Kluyveromyces lactis: one gene and its partners. The main gene of each other region encodes a partner of the protein of the gene in region 6 in a complex. Links are inferred from orthologs where the notes say so. Each region holds a gene or a part of one and is shown on either strand. Other genes may lie near its edges.

The links.
Region 1: MRPL40 (region 6) and MRPL11 share a complex: the UniProt entries of both Saccharomyces cerevisiae proteins name them as parts of the mitochondrial large ribosomal subunit. The link is inferred for Kluyveromyces lactis from reciprocal best matches to the Saccharomyces cerevisiae genes MRPL40 and MRPL11.
Region 2: MRPL40 (region 6) and MRPL23 share a complex: the UniProt entries of both Saccharomyces cerevisiae proteins name them as parts of the mitochondrial large ribosomal subunit. The link is inferred for Kluyveromyces lactis from reciprocal best matches to the Saccharomyces cerevisiae genes MRPL40 and MRPL23.
Region 3: MRPL40 (region 6) and RTC6 share a complex: the UniProt entries of both Saccharomyces cerevisiae proteins name them as parts of the mitochondrial large ribosomal subunit. The link is inferred for Kluyveromyces lactis from reciprocal best matches to the Saccharomyces cerevisiae genes MRPL40 and RTC6.
Region 4: MRPL40 (region 6) and MRP49 share a complex: the UniProt entries of both Saccharomyces cerevisiae proteins name them as parts of the mitochondrial large ribosomal subunit. The link is inferred for Kluyveromyces lactis from reciprocal best matches to the Saccharomyces cerevisiae genes MRPL40 and MRP49.
Region 5: MRPL40 (region 6) and MRPL44 share a complex: the UniProt entries of both Saccharomyces cerevisiae proteins name them as parts of the mitochondrial large ribosomal subunit. The link is inferred for Kluyveromyces lactis from reciprocal best matches to the Saccharomyces cerevisiae genes MRPL40 and MRPL44.
Region 7: MRPL40 (region 6) and MRPL24 share a complex: the UniProt entries of both Saccharomyces cerevisiae proteins name them as parts of the mitochondrial large ribosomal subunit. The link is inferred for Kluyveromyces lactis from reciprocal best matches to the Saccharomyces cerevisiae genes MRPL40 and MRPL24.

Annotation. Positions count from the first base shown.
Region 1 is NC_006037.1:292,829-295,225, forward strand, and holds MRPL11 (mitochondrial 54S ribosomal protein uL10m), read right to left. Parts: upstream 1,239-2,397; coding exon 501-1,238; downstream 1-500. Other genes in the region: TRM8 (tRNA (guanine46-N7)-methyltransferase), read right to left, coding at 1-187; KLLA0_A03289g (putative nitronate monooxygenase), read right to left, coding at 1,997-2,397. UniProt on the Saccharomyces cerevisiae protein: Component of the mitochondrial ribosome (mitoribosome), a dedicated translation machinery responsible for the synthesis of mitochondrial genome-encoded proteins, including at least some of the essential transmembrane subunits of the mitochondrial respiratory chain.
Region 2 is NC_006040.1:210,632-212,858, forward strand, and holds MRPL23 (mitochondrial 54S ribosomal protein uL13m), read left to right. Parts: upstream 1-1,259; coding exon 1,260-1,727; downstream 1,728-2,227. Other genes in the region: protein disulfide isomerase MPD1, read left to right, coding at 1-984; CRN1 (coronin), read right to left, coding at 2,072-2,227. UniProt on the Saccharomyces cerevisiae protein: Component of the mitochondrial ribosome (mitoribosome), a dedicated translation machinery responsible for the synthesis of mitochondrial genome-encoded proteins, including at least some of the essential transmembrane subunits of the mitochondrial respiratory chain.
Region 3 is NC_006041.1:1,683,425-1,685,659, forward strand, and holds RTC6 (mitochondrial 54S ribosomal protein bL36m), read right to left. Parts: upstream 744-2,235; coding exon 501-743; downstream 1-500. Other genes in the region: tRNA (34-2'-O)-methyltransferase regulator RTT10, read left to right, coding at 1-323; kinetochore-microtubule binding complex subunit SPC105, read left to right, coding at 1,327-2,235. UniProt on the Saccharomyces cerevisiae protein: Component of the mitochondrial ribosome (mitoribosome), a dedicated translation machinery responsible for the synthesis of mitochondrial genome-encoded proteins, including at least some of the essential transmembrane subunits of the mitochondrial respiratory chain.
Region 4 is NC_006038.1:623,044-625,116, forward strand, and holds MRP49 (mitochondrial 54S ribosomal protein mL61), read right to left. Parts: upstream 894-2,073; coding exon 501-893; downstream 1-500. Other genes in the region: RKM3 (protein-lysine N-methyltransferase), read right to left, coding at 1-9; KLLA0_B07205g (cAMP-dependent protein kinase), read right to left, coding at 1,563-2,073. UniProt on the Saccharomyces cerevisiae protein: Component of the mitochondrial ribosome (mitoribosome), a dedicated translation machinery responsible for the synthesis of mitochondrial genome-encoded proteins, including at least some of the essential transmembrane subunits of the mitochondrial respiratory chain.
Region 5 is NC_006039.1:594,946-597,180, reverse strand, and holds MRPL44 (mitochondrial 54S ribosomal protein mL53), read right to left. Parts: upstream 930-2,235; coding exon 872-929; intron 740-871; coding exon 501-739; downstream 1-500. Other genes in the region: rRNA-processing protein RRP36, read right to left, coding at 1-152; DNA-directed RNA polymerase II subunit RPB7, read left to right, coding at 1,486-2,001. UniProt on the Saccharomyces cerevisiae protein: Component of the mitochondrial ribosome (mitoribosome), a dedicated translation machinery responsible for the synthesis of mitochondrial genome-encoded proteins, including at least some of the essential transmembrane subunits of the mitochondrial respiratory chain.
Region 6 is NC_006039.1:835,165-837,803, reverse strand, and holds MRPL40 (mitochondrial 54S ribosomal protein uL24m), read left to right. Parts: upstream 1-1,248; coding exon 1,249-2,139; downstream 2,140-2,639. Other genes in the region: NIP100 (Nip100p), read right to left, coding at 1-175; CDC31 (centrin), read left to right, coding at 444-947; HNT3 (DNA 5'-adenosine monophosphate hydrolase), read left to right, coding at 2,371-2,639. UniProt on the Saccharomyces cerevisiae protein: Component of the mitochondrial ribosome (mitoribosome), a dedicated translation machinery responsible for the synthesis of mitochondrial genome-encoded proteins, including at least some of the essential transmembrane subunits of the mitochondrial respiratory chain.
Region 7 is NC_006040.1:1,064,461-1,067,009, reverse strand, and holds MRPL24 (mitochondrial 54S ribosomal protein bL28m), read left to right. Parts: upstream 1-1,281; coding exon 1,282-2,049; downstream 2,050-2,549. Other genes in the region: KLLA0_D12584g (uncharacterized protein), read left to right, coding at 1-978. UniProt on the Saccharomyces cerevisiae protein: Component of the mitochondrial ribosome (mitoribosome), a dedicated translation machinery responsible for the synthesis of mitochondrial genome-encoded proteins, including at least some of the essential transmembrane subunits of the mitochondrial respiratory chain.

The DNA of each region.
Region 1 (2,397 bases), on a different chromosome or scaffold from region 6:
TTGGATACTCCAACTGATGATCACTGAATGGATTCGAATGTGCTCTTTGTCTGTAAAACTTTTTTTTAGGTAAAGATAGTTTATCCACCTTTTCAATCACAGATTCATCGATCTTGACATGTTTCAATTCTTTGCGATGATCTTGCTTCTCAGCACGATACGCCTGGCGTCTAGTACTAAAACTCATATTTTCTAACAAAGGCAGTTATAGGAAATTTGAGTCACTGTTAGAATTCAATTATGTTTATTCAACACACATTAACGGTTGGTGGAAGTAACTGCTTTGAAAAATTGTAACCTCATCGCCTAGGTTTTCTCGACTCAATTGATTCAGTGCATGTTCAAAAACTTTTTATTTCTTTACAATATACAAATGAGATCAAAAAAAGTCACGTGCAAAGAATATGTACAGGAGTTTATATTAATATGTGATGGGTTTATTTAAGTACATCGATACGTAAAAATGATTTATATTACATTTCATGATGGGGCAAAAGACTTTAATTTCCTTCGCTGTCATTCTCGTTTTTCTGCTTATCTGGGTTAATATTATCTTCGTGAGACTTTAGAGTTAGGTACAACATGTTTGAGCCAGCTTCTAAAGTTTGAACTAAACCAGCACCGCTCAAGACGTGCAATAGTCCCAGTAATTCTGATTGTAATTGACTTTTTGTTGGTAGATCCTTGAAAGAATCCAATTGTCTCAAATCGTACGCATCATTTTCAACTTTGGCGCCAATAACGAATAACTTGTCTTGGGCTTTTTCCAATAATTTCATGACTTTTTTTACCTTTGCCGGATCAGTCTCTGGGAACGAAATTGCTGCCGTAGGACCTTTGAACAAGGGCAGTAAAGGATGCTTCCAGTCTTGTTCTGAACGTTTCGCTGGAGCAGCTGGGTCATTTTTGCGTGAGTTTCTCAAGTATACTTGGAACAAATTGTTTCTCAAGATTGTTAACTTGCCTCCTACCTTATTAATTTCTTCTCTGAAGTGTGCATTCTCCCCTTTCATCAAATTGTTATGATGACAAAACAACATTACCGGACTGGTTTCCATCAGGTTTTTGTAAGAGTCGATTAGGAAAGTCTTACGAGAGTCCAAAGGCTTTACTGTTCTTCTAACTGCATCCGAGACAGTTCTCTCAATTTGCGTAGAGGCAAACCTCCTAACCAAAAACGGAGAAGCATATGAGACACGGGATACCACCACTGGGCTTCTTAACAAAAGTGACAACATGGCTATTTTGAGTGGTTGGTGATGACCTGAGCTGTGGATTCGAATCACTTTAAGCGAATTCATTCCCACCAATATATCTCTTCACTACAATATATCAATCTTCAGTGATTTTTCAGATTTTTCATTTTTTTTCAGATTTTTCAGTATCGTCGAATTTCAATACTTGGTACAATAAACCGACGAGAGGCATAGTTAGATTCAATGTAAGAAGGTATGAATGGTAATTGGAAGTGGTATGAGTGCCAAAATCGGTATCAACAATGGAGAAGGGAATGAAGACTTTCTCGTATATTTTCCATGGCAGCAAAAAATGTATATTGGTAATTTTTTATATATCTTCTTTATAGTATATATAATCCCGAATGAGGCAAAGGTCGATTCACGTGACTGTTCAAATTAAAATGATAGAGGAATTGGTGAGTTCTGCTCTTCTTTTCGAACTGCAAACTGTCATTGCTATCGTCAACATCATGCTTAAATAATGTAATCCGTTATAGACGTCTCCTGTCCAAGCTAGGAGGGATGTCGAAAGATTAGATTTCTTCCTTACAAAAGGTAGTCCGGGATTTATAGGGTCGTAGTGAAATTGTGAAGAGATGCAACTCTACTTCGTCATTGAAAAAATAAATGCAGTCATGTAACTGACGAGAATAATGCACAATTAGTGTAACTTCATCGTTCCATTGTGGAATTTGTCGCTATTCGGGATTTTCGTACATTTGAAACAGCATAGCTCTGTGCTGTAACGGTCTGGAAAATTATCTCATCTCATCGACAAGGGTTTGCATTAGTTGTCTCGCATCCATATCACGGATACGGCTGACATTGGATCCTGCCCAATGTGCTGCGAAAGAATTTGCGGTACCATCATGATCTGGAATAGACACGGCATTTAACTGCTTCCCCACATCGTATGTAAATGGATACCCTGGATGTATCACTCTAGTTGGAATATCCACCTCAGTGTGCCAACTATTCAACAAAGCTCGCGCCGGACGACCTGATATGCTGCTTGTGATTTGAGTTATGTCATTTCTTGTTTTGTCAAATAATAATTTCCTGTAATTTTCTGACGCAGCCGATTCTTTGCATTGGACAAATGCGGTTCCTAATTGAGCACCACTGGCACCTACTTCCATCATTCCTTTAATATCTTGAC
Region 2 (2,227 bases), on a different chromosome or scaffold from region 6:
ATGTACACACGTCTTCTATATGCATTGTTTTTGTTGGTCGAACTGGCGTTCGGAGCCAATTTCTACGACCGTGATGAGAATATCATGGAATTGACACCTTCTAACTTCGATAAAGTCATTCATAGGACCAATTACACCACTTTGGTCATGTTTTATGCTCCGTGGTGTGGTTACTGTCAGGAATTGAAAGGTTCCATGAAATCTGCCGGTAAAATCCTCTCTGGAATGGTACAAGTTGCTGGAGTGAACTGTGATGAAAGTGTGAATAAACAATTATGTGCACAGAACAGAGTATCGGGGTTCCCAACGTTAATGGTATTCAGGCCTCCAAAGATCAATTTGGATAACCCAAAGAAAAATTCCAATGGTGCTGCGTCACAGCATGCCACAGAAGTGTACAAGGGAGAAAGGAAATTGAAGCCCATTGTCGATTTCGCTTTATCTAGAGTGAAAAACTACGTGAAGCGGTTGAACCGTTACAGTAAGTTCGAAGAACTATTAAAATCTTCAAGAACCAGGTACGCTGTAGTGCTTATCTCAAAGAAGGAGAAGATTCCAACTTTATATAAATCTGTAGCCCTCGATTGGCTTGGGATCTACGATTTCTATTCGATCTGGGACGAGAAATTGCAAGGCGTGTCACAATTGAGTTTTGAGAACGATACAAAGAATTGGCCAAATACTGTTAAATACCTCCAATCGTTAGAAAAAAGTGAAACTGAATTACAATCGCCCAGAATCGTAGTGATAGATAGAGAAACAGATACTTATGACGAACTAGACATATTAAAAACTACAGATAAAAATGACATTGCAACGTTCCTTTCGAAATTCGAGTCAAAACCAAGGGAAGGTCCACTCAGTAAGAGACAAGAATACCTCAAATCTATTTTGAATAAATCAAAGTCAAAGAAGTCCAAGACTAAAAAGAACAAACAGAAGACTAAACTTACGAAGGACGACATAGTTCAGGATGAGTTGTAGGTATTTGTTAGTAGCTTGTATATAGATTGTGTTTAACATCCGGGTAACAGTAATATGAGCGATTGAAAAAAATTTGGCTCCAAGCTGAAATTAAACATCAATTAATCAAATCGATTGTCAAGCTAAACATATGATGAGTTAAAAGACAACTGACTGTCCCGAACTATCCCTTTACCTAAGTGATTACAGTTGAATAGCATCACTTAAAATTTAACTTTTTAGGTGCCACGTTTTAACCTGTCAGAAAGGAGGCAAAATAACAATATATTAGAAGTATGTCTCAAAAGGTAGGACATACTGGTTTGGCATTTGCCAGGATGTGGCATCATGTTGATATATCCAAGGACAAGAGAACGCTTGGTAGGGTGGCATCTCAGGTTGCTCTAGCGTTAATGGGGAAGCACAAGCCAGTGTATCATCCATCTGCTGATTGCGGTGATTATGTTGTGGTAACGAACTGCCAAGCTTTGCGTGTGACGGGGAACAAGATGACCCAAAAGACGTACTGGTCGCATACTTCTAGACCAGGTTCATTAAAGTTGACTACAATGGAAGACATGATCAGTAACAAGGGTTACAGTGAAGTTTTGAAGAAGGCTGTGTCCGGAATGCTTCCCAAGAATAAACTTCGTAAGATCAGACTTGCTAGATTAAAAATTTTCGATGGAAGTGAACATCCATACAAGAGTAATATCACCGCATTTGCTGATCAGCAACTAGAGCTGCAACACCAGAAGAAATAGTGTGGATGAATTTTTATGTGACTTCTTAATTTTTGAGAAGTTAACGGCAGCATGTGATGTAAAATCCCTGTATATATTATTATTCGATCTAAATGGTTCTCCTTAGTACGCATACAATGTCTGTCGTTTTTCACTGTACTAAACTCTTCCACTTTACTATGTACATATAGATTGTTATTTAGATATGTTAATTATCACATACAAATCACATACAAATCACATACAGAGATAGAAAAGATATTACATCGCAGTATGCCAAAGCATAATACTTTTGCCTGGAAGAAAGAACATTTAACAGAACAAAAACGAGAAGAATTAGGGAAGGATGTATTTCATATTTGATATTATTTCCCTTGCTCCAAAAGACGATCTACTTTTGCTTCCAAAGCAGCAAGAATTTCATCTTTGCGGGTATTTTCCTCGGTTAATTTATCAATATAGCTTTCCAACTTTAGAACTAATCCAGATAATGTTTCTACAGATTGTCTCAAATTGAGAGA
Region 3 (2,235 bases), on a different chromosome or scaffold from region 6:
ATGACAATGCTGTAGCCATCACTAAATTTACGAACAATGACAACTACACGATGAAAGCCGAAATACTAGATCACGATTCGTATGCTGCTTCATCAACAGTAACATCAGTGAATCTGTTAGATAATGACACAAAATTATTGGCTACATCAGTGGACCAGGTCATAAGAATTAGGGACATTACGAATGACAAACTGAAAATAACGGAGAGCAAATATACCACAGTAGCAGATACCGGTTCCAGTGATATAGTTACGTTACCAAACGTCCAGAAAACACTTATATTAATAGGAGGATTAGGACTTTCCTGTTGGCGAGATGAATAATATCTAACCATCTAAACTTCAGAATTTTATATATTTAAAACCAGTTTATTAGTATAGAATGGAAATTATTTATAGAAAGAAGGCTGCATTTTTCCACATTCAAGAAAAGAACACATCCTCCATTATGACTTATCTATATACATGAAAGATTGGGACGAATGGGAGGGCGATTGTAATTCAACCTTGACGTTGTTTATGCTTCTTATTGGACTTACAGTAAACGTACACTCTGCCCTTACGTCTAACCATGTAACAATCGTTACAGAACTTCTTGATGGAAGTTCTTACCTTAAAACCTCTGGTCAAAGGAGGGTTCATAAGACCCATCATTGGCATAGATAGCATATTGATACTTTTCACAGCTGGCCTTGTCAGTCTTGTCAACGAGTTCAACATCGTACTTCCGAAAAGTGTGCTCATTATGTATGTATTTCCCTCTCTTTATATTATATCGGGCTCCAGAGTTATACCTGTGAAGAGTTTTCAGTTTTTGATATCACCCACGGTCTTGAAACGTACTAATGGAGTCCACAATCGTCAATAAGGCATCACACCGACTGAACATGCCCTCTATAGCTGATGATCTACCATGAAAAGGCCTTCGATAATTTTTCAAAATAGTTTCAATGGAGATTAAGATATTTACCCGGACTATAGCACGTGATGGTTATGACCTGAGATCTTGAACATCCTCATCTAGTGAACATCTTTGGGCAAATCTGAAGACCGTTTCGAATCACTAACAAATAAATAATTGATGAAGTACACCCATCCTTTCTAAGAGACTCTTCAAGGCAGTTGTTTTATCCTTTTTCTCGGTTCTCACTGTATGTGCAGCAGCGCTCTGAATCGAAAACATTGAACTTCGAAAACGTAAACAATCGAATTTTAGATCAATATATTGACACACAAATACCGAATCATCATAAACTTAAGGACTAATATTTAGGTTAAGTTTCCATTTATTATCATATTTCACCCTGTGTTGATAGTCTCGCTTCATATGACAGATCCAAAACGATTGTCTTTGCTTCCGAGAAGTATCCTTAAGCAAAAATTTAAGGATGATGATACAACTAACACCAGTCATAATTTGACTATGTCCCAGATACAGTTTCCTACTGAGGGAATTACCAAAGAAGATATACTGGACGGAAACAATACGACATCCCGGATCAGTGCTGCGATTTCGAAGGGAAATCGCCGTGTGTCCTTTGCACCAGATGTGACTTTGCACAAGTTCGAATTCATACCACAATCGATTCAAAATGTAAGGGAACCTCGAAGGAAATCCGCTTTAAAATTGGAAGTGGCAGTAGCTGAAGCCTCTATGGCCGATACCAAAAATGATAACGACAATTCTGGAGAAACAATGGAATTTACTAGTCCGATAGGTTCAATATTCCAAAAATTGGAGTCTCCAAGCGAACCGAAAAATGATGGGTACCAACCTGTGTTCGACAAAGAGGTTTCAATGGATATAACACAGTTATTTGCAAAACATAGCGCTAAACCAGACGATAATGTGGTACCGCAAGAAACCTCTACTGCTGCGGAAGAAGAAGAAGAGAATGGTAACGAAGACCAAGTTTTGGAGGAAACAATGGACCTTACAGAACCGCAGAAACGCCGCTTTAACGAAGAAGAGTCTATGGAAATAACTGACCAAATACGGATGGATGCAGAAAAACCTACGCTAGATGCAGATTCAGAATCTGCTTTCAAATTACCTAAGATACCAGCAATTACAGAGGAAACAATGGAATTTACAAACGTGCAGGCTCCTCTGGAGATGCGAGAGTCACAGATAGTTTCTTCAACTCAACTAGAACCAACTCAACTCCCGCAGTCAAAAAGAAGGAAATTATCTAACGGTGGTTATCAGTCTCCGGTCAAATTGCAGGTACCAGTG
Region 4 (2,073 bases), on a different chromosome or scaffold from region 6:
ATTAGACATTCGTGTTGTTGGGTTGAGAGTCTTCACCTGTGAATAATGCCCCTACTATATGCCTCTTTGGGGTGTTGATAATTTCTGTGGTCAACCGATGAGATGAGATGAGATGATGAGATCTGAAGCGATTTATCATTTTCGAGATTGAAAAATTTCAACTGAACAATACGCAGAAAACCATTTCCGCAGATGAAGAAGTCGCTGTTAATGTAAGATGTCTTAATGACAATTAGATGTAAGAGGCGTTCTGAAATTCAAGTTAAATAACCACCTGGTAACCATATACTGGCGTTTTAAATCTTCTTCTCGCGTGTTCTTGAATGTCTTGACGATCCTTGGGCAGAGAGTCAACTCATCTCAAAAGGATATGTCATTTGAATAAGACATCAAATCGGATGAAAAGTATCTTATTATATACATATGTACAGGACCTAACTTTGAAAGTAGTATATTTAGGTATTCCAGTTTGTTTGTTTTTCTTTGTCAAAGGTCGGAGCTCATACCTTTATTATTTCTTCCTGGGGTACTCTTTTGTGTTCCAATTTCTGTAGCACTTCATCCATAATTTCAGATGAGTGTTTGTGCTTCATTGAAACTTCAGCTACAACCTTCCCATCGGATCCAATAGCTTCTAGTATGCATGGTACATCGACTTTTTTATCATCGTTTCTAATTCTGGTCACATTGATTGGCAACGCAGGGTTGTAAAACTGCAGAGAAGGCAAAAACTCGTGCCAGAACTTACGGGCACCCATATGGCCATTGAAATTCTGATACTGGAACTTCACATTCAATGCACTGTACTTCGATACATCTAATATAATTTGAGGTTTCACGGTAGTCGCACTGATCTTGTTCAAAAATTTTTGTTGTTTAACGATTCCTGACATTATTTATTAATGATCTTCTCTAGAGTGACAATGAGTATAAGTATCCAATCGGTAAAATAAACCTTGACGATAAAGTAGAGCAACCAGGACCCTTCACTTTCAGCAATATCACTTCAATCATCTATTTCGTAAAATCATTCTCATTTCAACTGGACATGTCCACTGAACTTTTTGAATTTTCAATAGTTTGGAAAAAAATTCATTGGTCACGTGAAATCATTCGACAGAAGCAAGTTACGTCCAAAACATAAATGAATGTGCCATGACTTACCCCAGTTTACAATTTATGTAGCATGGATCGTGAGGGAAGGACTTGTGATGAAGTCTTATACATGCATTCAAAATATGTAAATGCCATTGATTATAGATAGATAAATACTCCAAAAATAAGATTATTGCATCGAGCATCCATTGGAGAGTACAGCAAAACGAATGAAACGAATTTTGAATTGGAAGTGCGTACATCAATCCATCTAGTATTGTACGATGGTCATTCAAAGGAATGTATCAAATAACGGCAGCGTTTCTGAAGGCAATGAGCCGATATATCAAAACAAAAAAAAAAAGAAAAGGGACTAACGGGGGGAAAGGCGTGTTAAAGTTTACATATTGTGTAGATGCAAGATAAGAGGCATGTTGATATCTGAATTTCATGAGCAAGTATGCCTGCTAAAAGTTGGTGAAAATACTATGGTACGGATCTTCGCCTTGAATGCCATAATTAACCTCTTCCTCTGGATACCTATCGTATTGAGAGGTATCGCCTTGTCCGGCCTGAATAGGAGGTTCATATGGAGTTTCAATGTTTTTGCAGAGTAGTTTTTCCCACACAACCTCGCTGAACCACGGATGATTCTTTACGTCCTCACTTCCATTTTGTAAATTACCTAGCCGTTGACTTAAGTCTCTTGTGATGAGTTTCGATATTAGATCTTGAGCATCAGAATGGAAAAATGGTGGGAATCTTACTGGAGCATTTAGAATATTCTCATAGGTCTTAATTGTGTTTGAATCGTAGAAAGGTGTATATCCTGCTAACATTTCGTAGATTAAAACACCAAAACTCCACCAATCCACAGATTTGTTGTAAGGTTTTGTGCTTACCACTTCAGGTGCGATATAGTCCGGTGTTCCACAGAGAGTGTAAGTGACATCAGGAACATATTTAGCGAACCCGAAA
Region 5 (2,235 bases), about 240 kb from region 6:
GATCCAAATGAGAGTGTCTTTAGCTCATCTTCGCTTTGTGAACCTTCTGCATCACTTGTATCGTTTATTCTTATGATTGATGCTATGTCATCTTCCTCATCTTCGTTTCCTGAATGAAGATCTGGCTTGATATTCTTGAAGTAAAATGACATTTGTATATTACTGGTAGTTTTTGTGGCCGTGGCTGCTTACAGGTTAGTTATCAGTCGCTTCTACATAGAAGTTCTTCTTGATTTTAAGTTTAGCTCATCGCTTCTGCATTGGCACCGTATAAAATTTTCAATATCTGGAAGAAACTTGAAATTCCTATTCAGGCGATGTAAATGAATAATGGACAGGAAGGGAGCTTCAAATAATAAGGTCTGTGATCATACCAACAGCGTTGACTCAATTTAATCCACTGAAGCATTGTAGTGTTTTATATCTTATACTACATTAAATTTCTTTTACTTATTGTTATATATACATGAATTTTGTGATGGGTATCTCGTCACAAGAAATCATTGAGATTCAATACTTTCCTTTAGGGCCAATTTTCTTGAATGACGATCAAAGTAGTTCCCTAGTTCCATGAAGTTCATACTGCTTGGATCAGCTTCCAATTCAGTTTTATCTTTGAAAGTAACTTTCACTGTAGGTTTCTTATTAGAGCCAGAAACCAAAACTTCGTTTTGCAATTGTAATCCACTTGTTCTTTGTGAAGGAGGAATAGCACTTAAGAACAACCTAGCTGTCTTGGCTGTAGATGAAGATAAATGAGACGATTGATGTTTTAATAGTAAAACAACCGTAAATCATATTATGTTAGTAATGGTGTTCGGTAGTTTTAAATGATGTCCAACTAATGATTTCTCTTTCTTTGAAGACATACCTTCCTTTCCTAATGGATTGAATTTCACAACTGCCTTAGTAAAATATTTCGTGATCATGTTGCTCTATAGTTCTCTTGACAACAGCTGACAAACTCCCAAGTATTACTCTGATGAGACGTCCTCATCCAAAAACATACTTCACAGCTGTATTCATCTCTAGCTTTTTGCCTAAAACTGTTTAAATGGTAATAGCGATCTCATCAGAGGCTATACTATTACCCGGATAGTTTTTGAATGTTTTTGGGCGATGTTTGACGAAATGAAAAATATTGAAAGAAACATCCAATTGCAAAATGAACAACTTCAATATTTGCAAATGAAGCAAGACTGCTTTTAGCACAATCGGTTTTTAGGATCCTTGGATTGTTATTTAAGGTCGATATAAGGTACTCGCCTTTAATTGTTTGCAGGTTGAACTAAGTGCGGGTTGTTTTTCATTCGTTTATTCAATTGTAACAGCCGTTGATACGGTGAATCTATTGGCAAGCTTTTTAAAAAGGAACTATTCATATTCGAATTGGACTTTCAGTTTGATTGTAACTATACTTTAACTTGATCTTATTGCCTGAAGGACCAGTATCTTTTTTATAGAAGCGAAATAAACTACAGAGCCATGTTTTTCTTCAAAGATTTGTCGTTGAATATAACGCTTCATCCATCATTCTTTGGACCTCAGATGAAGAGATATTTGATGACAAAGCTACTACAAGAGGTGGAAGGAACATGTACCGGTAAATTCGGATATATCCTATGTGTTTTAGACTGTGAAAATATCGAGATTGAACGTGGACGGATTTTGCCTACGGACGGGTCAGCAGAGTTTACTGTTAAATATAGAGCTGTGGTATGGAAACCTTTCAAGGGAGAAGTTCTTGATGGTATCGTATCTAGTTGTACAAACTTAGGTTTTGAAGTGGAAGTTGGACCTTTGTCTGTCTTCGTTTCCCCTTTTTTGATGCCAGAAGATTTGACTTTCAACAGTGGTTCCAATCCTCCATCATATCAATCATCAGAACAAATTATTACTAAAGGATCTAGAGTAAGATTAAAAATCGTCGGTGCAAGATCGGAAGTCAACTCTATTTACGCCATTGGCAGTATCAAGGAAGATTATTTGGGGGTGATATGATATTTCTTTCCTAGAACCTTTCACATTTTTCACCTAATCGCAACTATGACTATATATAGCTTTGGACATAAATTTCCAAATTCCGGTCATCATTGTTATCTGCTTCATTTGTGAGCATTTTGTATAATATAAAAGAACAAACTAATTTAACAAGCAGCATGGTCAATGTACTTTCTTTTTCTCAGCAATTAATAATAGCGTCACATTAATTTTTTGATTGTACCAAGCACAAAC
Region 6 (2,639 bases):
TACCCTCACTGAGTTCAAAGTACCTGACTCCCTTGACGCTACCATCGTTCTTCCCTAAGGGTTCATCTAACTCAACACCGATCCAAATCCCCGCTGCAAACTGCGTCTCGCCTATAAACCGTACAGTTCCTGCCAGGCTGCGTAGCACTACCCTATCTCCTAATTCCAGATCCATTGTTTCATTTTAGAACTAAAGAGTAGTTGATCTGGCAGTACTGTAAGGTATTCATCAGTTATTGCCTTCATTTCTTTCAGGATATGTGTTTATGTTCCTTAAACTCAATATTGTCAAAATAATCATAAACATGAAATCTTTAAACATATTTTAAAGAAGTTTCACGAAGTTTACGCGTGCAGCAAAAGAGGTAAATTAAGAGGTTCGATTGACTTACAGCCAAGACTCACAACGGCAAGAAATCTAACCCAATTCGGATCATAGAAACATGAATAACAGAAGGCCCAGTGGACGAGTAGCGAAATCCGTGGATAAATCCACTTTACAAAAGGAATTATTAGAAGAACAGAAACAAGAAATATACGAGGCGTTCTCACTCTTTGATATGAACAATGATGGATATCTCGACTATCATGAATTCAAAGTCGCTCTAAGGGCATTGGGTTTTGAACTCAGTAAAGGAGACATATTAGAACTTATCGATAGGTATGATGCAGACGGACGCCGGTTAATACAATACGAGGATTTTTACCTGGTAGTAGGAGAAAAAATATTGCAAAGAGACCCATTGGATGAAATTAAACGTGCCTTCAGGCTATTCGACGATGATAACACGGGCAAGATCTCATTGAAGAATTTGAAACGTGTAGCTCACGAACTAGGTGAAAACCTTACAGACGAAGAACTACGTGCCATGATTGATGAGTTTGATCTTGACGATGACGGAGAGATCAATGAAGAAGAGTTCATTGCTATATGCACTGACAATTAGTGCTTCACGACCATTTCCATTGCCACAGCTGGAGCCCTGTGCCGCATGTATATCTCACCTTGTATATCCTATGTAACATCAAGCTATAATACTAAATCAAATGCGAAGAATCTGATAGTCTAATTCGGATCACGTGCTTTCATTTTTCCCTTCCAAAAAAATTTGTCGATGAAAAACTTGAAGGAACGGAATCAAGAAAGACATATGTATCAATATGGTACTATGGAATGAACCACAAATGGTTTATGTTCTGTGAAAAGGACGGTGGTATTCGATACTAGAATAAAATAGATCAGCGGGTATGTCTTCATATAAACATTTATCGAAGGCTGGTGCCCGTTTTTTGGAGCAAGTTCAAGCGAAGAACTCTAATATTGCGAAACAATTTGCCAAGTATGAAGGTTTGACGATGCCAGAGTTCTTGAAACCATCGTTGCCTCGTGTCGAAGAATCCGAGAAGTATAAGAGTGTAAAGCAATGGAAATATATGCCAGGTGATAGAGTGGTGATAGTAAATGGAAAGTTTAAGGGCAATGTTTGTGCCATTACGCAGCACGACGTGCATACAAACGGGTATATTTTGGATGAGAATGGACCCACCAACACTGTTCCTGTGCCCAAGCAATTTTGGCAACAGGGGCAGAACAGTCATATGGTGAGTTTCCCTGTCCCCGTGAGCCAAGCGGACATCAAACTAGTCGCTGATCTCGATGATCCAGAGACTCCAGGTGTGGCTAAGACTGTTGCTGTTCGTGACATCGAATTCAAGGGTTCGTATTATGATTCAGATTACAAGAAAATTATGCCATATAGGGTTGTTGTTGGTGAGAACAATATGGTTGTTCCATGGCCTAAGCCGGAGTTCAAGCCAGATGGTGCATTGGCTACGCGTTCTGAAATTGCACGTCAACAAACTTTCTGGGTTGAAAGCGTAGTAAAAAATCCTGTTCCAGAAGCAGCATTGTCAACCATCCGTAACCCTAAGTCGAAATACAGAAGAGGTACCTTGACAACGAAGGAAATATCAAGATTGGTGGCTCCAAAAATGCCTCTAACGGAAGCAAAGAAAAGATACATCGAACAAAGAAAAGAATTGGCAGCATTGCCAAAACGTAAATTGACTGATGAAGATCAAGAATTGATTGGTGACAAGGTCTACCAACACTTCAAGAAATCTTTCGAATTACAATAAGAATAAATAATAGTTTTGGCTAGCACTTAACTGCCATTCGTATCCACGCTACTTGTACATAGATCATAATATCATACTTCATCGCACTTTTATCTGACTTTTTTTTTTACTACATGTTTATTTTGAATGGAAATCTATACGTAAAGGTCATTACTTGTAGTAACAGACCTCAACAATTTATGATTATAGTAATGACTAAATGATTAGATAACTGTTACTAGTTCATAACAAATGGATGAGTGCGGTCCAATATATGTTATAGAATGGAAGGAAAGTCCAGGCGATCAATGGACTATCTCAGATAAATCGGGGTTTACGACTCATTTATTCAAATTAAATGAAGACGCCAACAAAGATATTGTGTACTGTAAACATTGCCGAAAGCAGTTCATCGGCAAGAACAGAGATTTAATTGGTTTCCATATGAACAAAATCCATCCACAAATCACAACTGGAATGACTTATAATCAGTATCTGCAGATTTTCAAACCCACTTATGT
Region 7 (2,549 bases), on a different chromosome or scaffold from region 6:
GAAGAATGGCAAGCGTTTTCTCTATTAACGAAACTCATGAAAGTATACGGATTAAGGGATTTATTCTTGCCGGGAATGCCTGGCCTGATGTTGAAATTGTACCAATTTGATACACTTTTGGAGGAAAATGATCCTCAATTGTATAACCATTTGATCAGGCAGGGAATAAGATCTACAATGTTTGCAACTCAATGGTTCCTGACGATGTTCGCATACAAATTTCCCCTTGAATTCGTTCTCAGAATCATGGATATTGTCATACTTGAAGGTATCGAATCGATGCTAAAATTCAGTTTAACGTTGATGTTAAAGAACAGTCGTAATTTGATCATTCTCAGTTTCGATTCTCTCTTAGACTTCTTGAAGGAGGACCTTTTCCAACACTATGCTTCTAAGGAGAACCCAGAAGAGTACGATATTGATAGATTCATCTCTGATTCGTTGGAAATCAAATTAACTCCATTGCAATTGGAGCGTTACGTGAAAGAGTACGATGAGATTCACAAGTTGGAAACGGAAAAGGAACAACAATATGAGGAACAAAGAATTAAAAACAGACAGCTTCAAAAAGAGTTGAAGAAATTAGAAAATGACTATTCGCTATTAAACAGAGAGCATATCACTATTGCCAATGAACTAATTGAAAACAGACTTCGGATGGAAACTCTTCAGGACGAAAATAAGGATTTATTACTAGAGATAGAAGATTTGAAGAAACAACTGGAACGTGAACTTTATAAACAAACGTTACCTAATCCAGATGCTGAAATTCCCACAGATTTGAAAGCAGATTTGAATAGAACAATGGAAAGAAATCTGGAAGTTATGGACGAAAATCAAGAGCTCAGAACACGCCTTGACGAATTAGAAAAAGAGAACTATGAATTACGCACAGGTAAGACTTGGACCAAAGATGCCACCAATCCAAAGGGAAATCGTCTCGGGAATTGGGCTTTCAAATCACCATGGAAGAAATGAGAAAAATTGCAACAGGGACCTCATTCACAATATCCATCCAGCCGTACATATATACATACCCTTCATACATACATGATACCGCCAACCATTACGCAGAGGTGTATTCTAATCATAAATTTCCTTATGCTTTACCATTCTCGCTGTATACGGTTTTGATCTTTCCAAAGCTTATTCAAAATTTTAGAAAATAACGACTTGATACATGCACTAAGGTGAAGAGAAGGAGCTTGAACCTAGTATGAAGCTAGTTGGTCTAAGAGTCTCTGTACGTTCACCAATAAGCACGGAGATCGTTCATCTGGAATGAAGTTTTTTCCAAGTTCCCAAAGAGGGTTTTCCACTCTTAGCCACCTCCTCAGAGAATGGAGATTAGTTGAAAGCAGACAGATCCCAACTCCAAAGACGTATCAAGTCGGCGACAGCAAGCCATTATATATCCCAAAGGAGAAGAAGGAATTCCCTGATTATCCATACGGAGAATCTCCAATTTACAAACAGAGTAACAAAGGTTTATACGGTGCGTCTTTCATCCAATTCGGTAATAACATCGCTGAATCGAAGACAAAAACCAGGAGATCATGGAGTCCAAACGTTATTAGAAAAGGACTATGGAGTGAGACTTTGAACAGAAAGATTAGTATTAAGATGACAGCAAAAGTTTTAAGAACAATTACCAAGGAAGGTGGTATTGACAACTATTTGACTAAGGAAAAGGCCGCCAGAATTAAGGAATTGGGACCTACTGGTTGGAAACTCCGTTACAGACTACTGAACTCTAAGGAAAAAGCTGCCAATCCTGTACATAAGGACGCTGAGACTGTCACAGATGCCAATGGCAACGAAGTCACCGTATTGTACAAAGTTGTTGTCGATGGAGAACCATTGAGAATTACTGCTGGTAAGCGTAAACTATTGCATACCCTTTTCCCATTGGAAAAGATGGAACACAAAGCGGATGGATTAGATCTATCGTTTAAGAAATTCATGGACCAATTTGCTACCCGTGACGTGGCAGACATCGTATCGAGATTAAAGGCCTTGAATTTCGATTTGAGTACGATTACTGTATGAGAACTGAATAGATTTTGTTCCAATTTTATATAAAAGCTTGTAAACAATGAGAAAATAGATTCTACCATGAGCTGGGAGGATGCTTGAAGACTATGCGTTAGTTGTCCGACTGACCGATGCAAGAGTTAATCACCCACTGTTCAATTGAATTGAACGGTGTGCATGTGACTGTTGCACCCAGACATTATTGACTGTTGCACCCATACATACTCAATTTCTGCTGAAAATGAGAATGTTTCCATACTAGGAAATTATTTTCTCATGTCCACCAAATCCGCTGAGCTGACGGTAGGATGCACAGACACATCCCATCCGTCTTCGTTGCTTGCTTCGAGCTGGGCAGGGCCTGTCCCGTTTCCTCCCTAAGCTGGACTGCCCGGTCTGGGCCTGGACATTCCACCAAACTGGCCGCTGGACTGCCCACTTAGACCCCAGGCTAGGCATCTCATGGTTTCCATTCACTTCCCATACCCTCCCAAACACTCCTCCGGGTAATCATC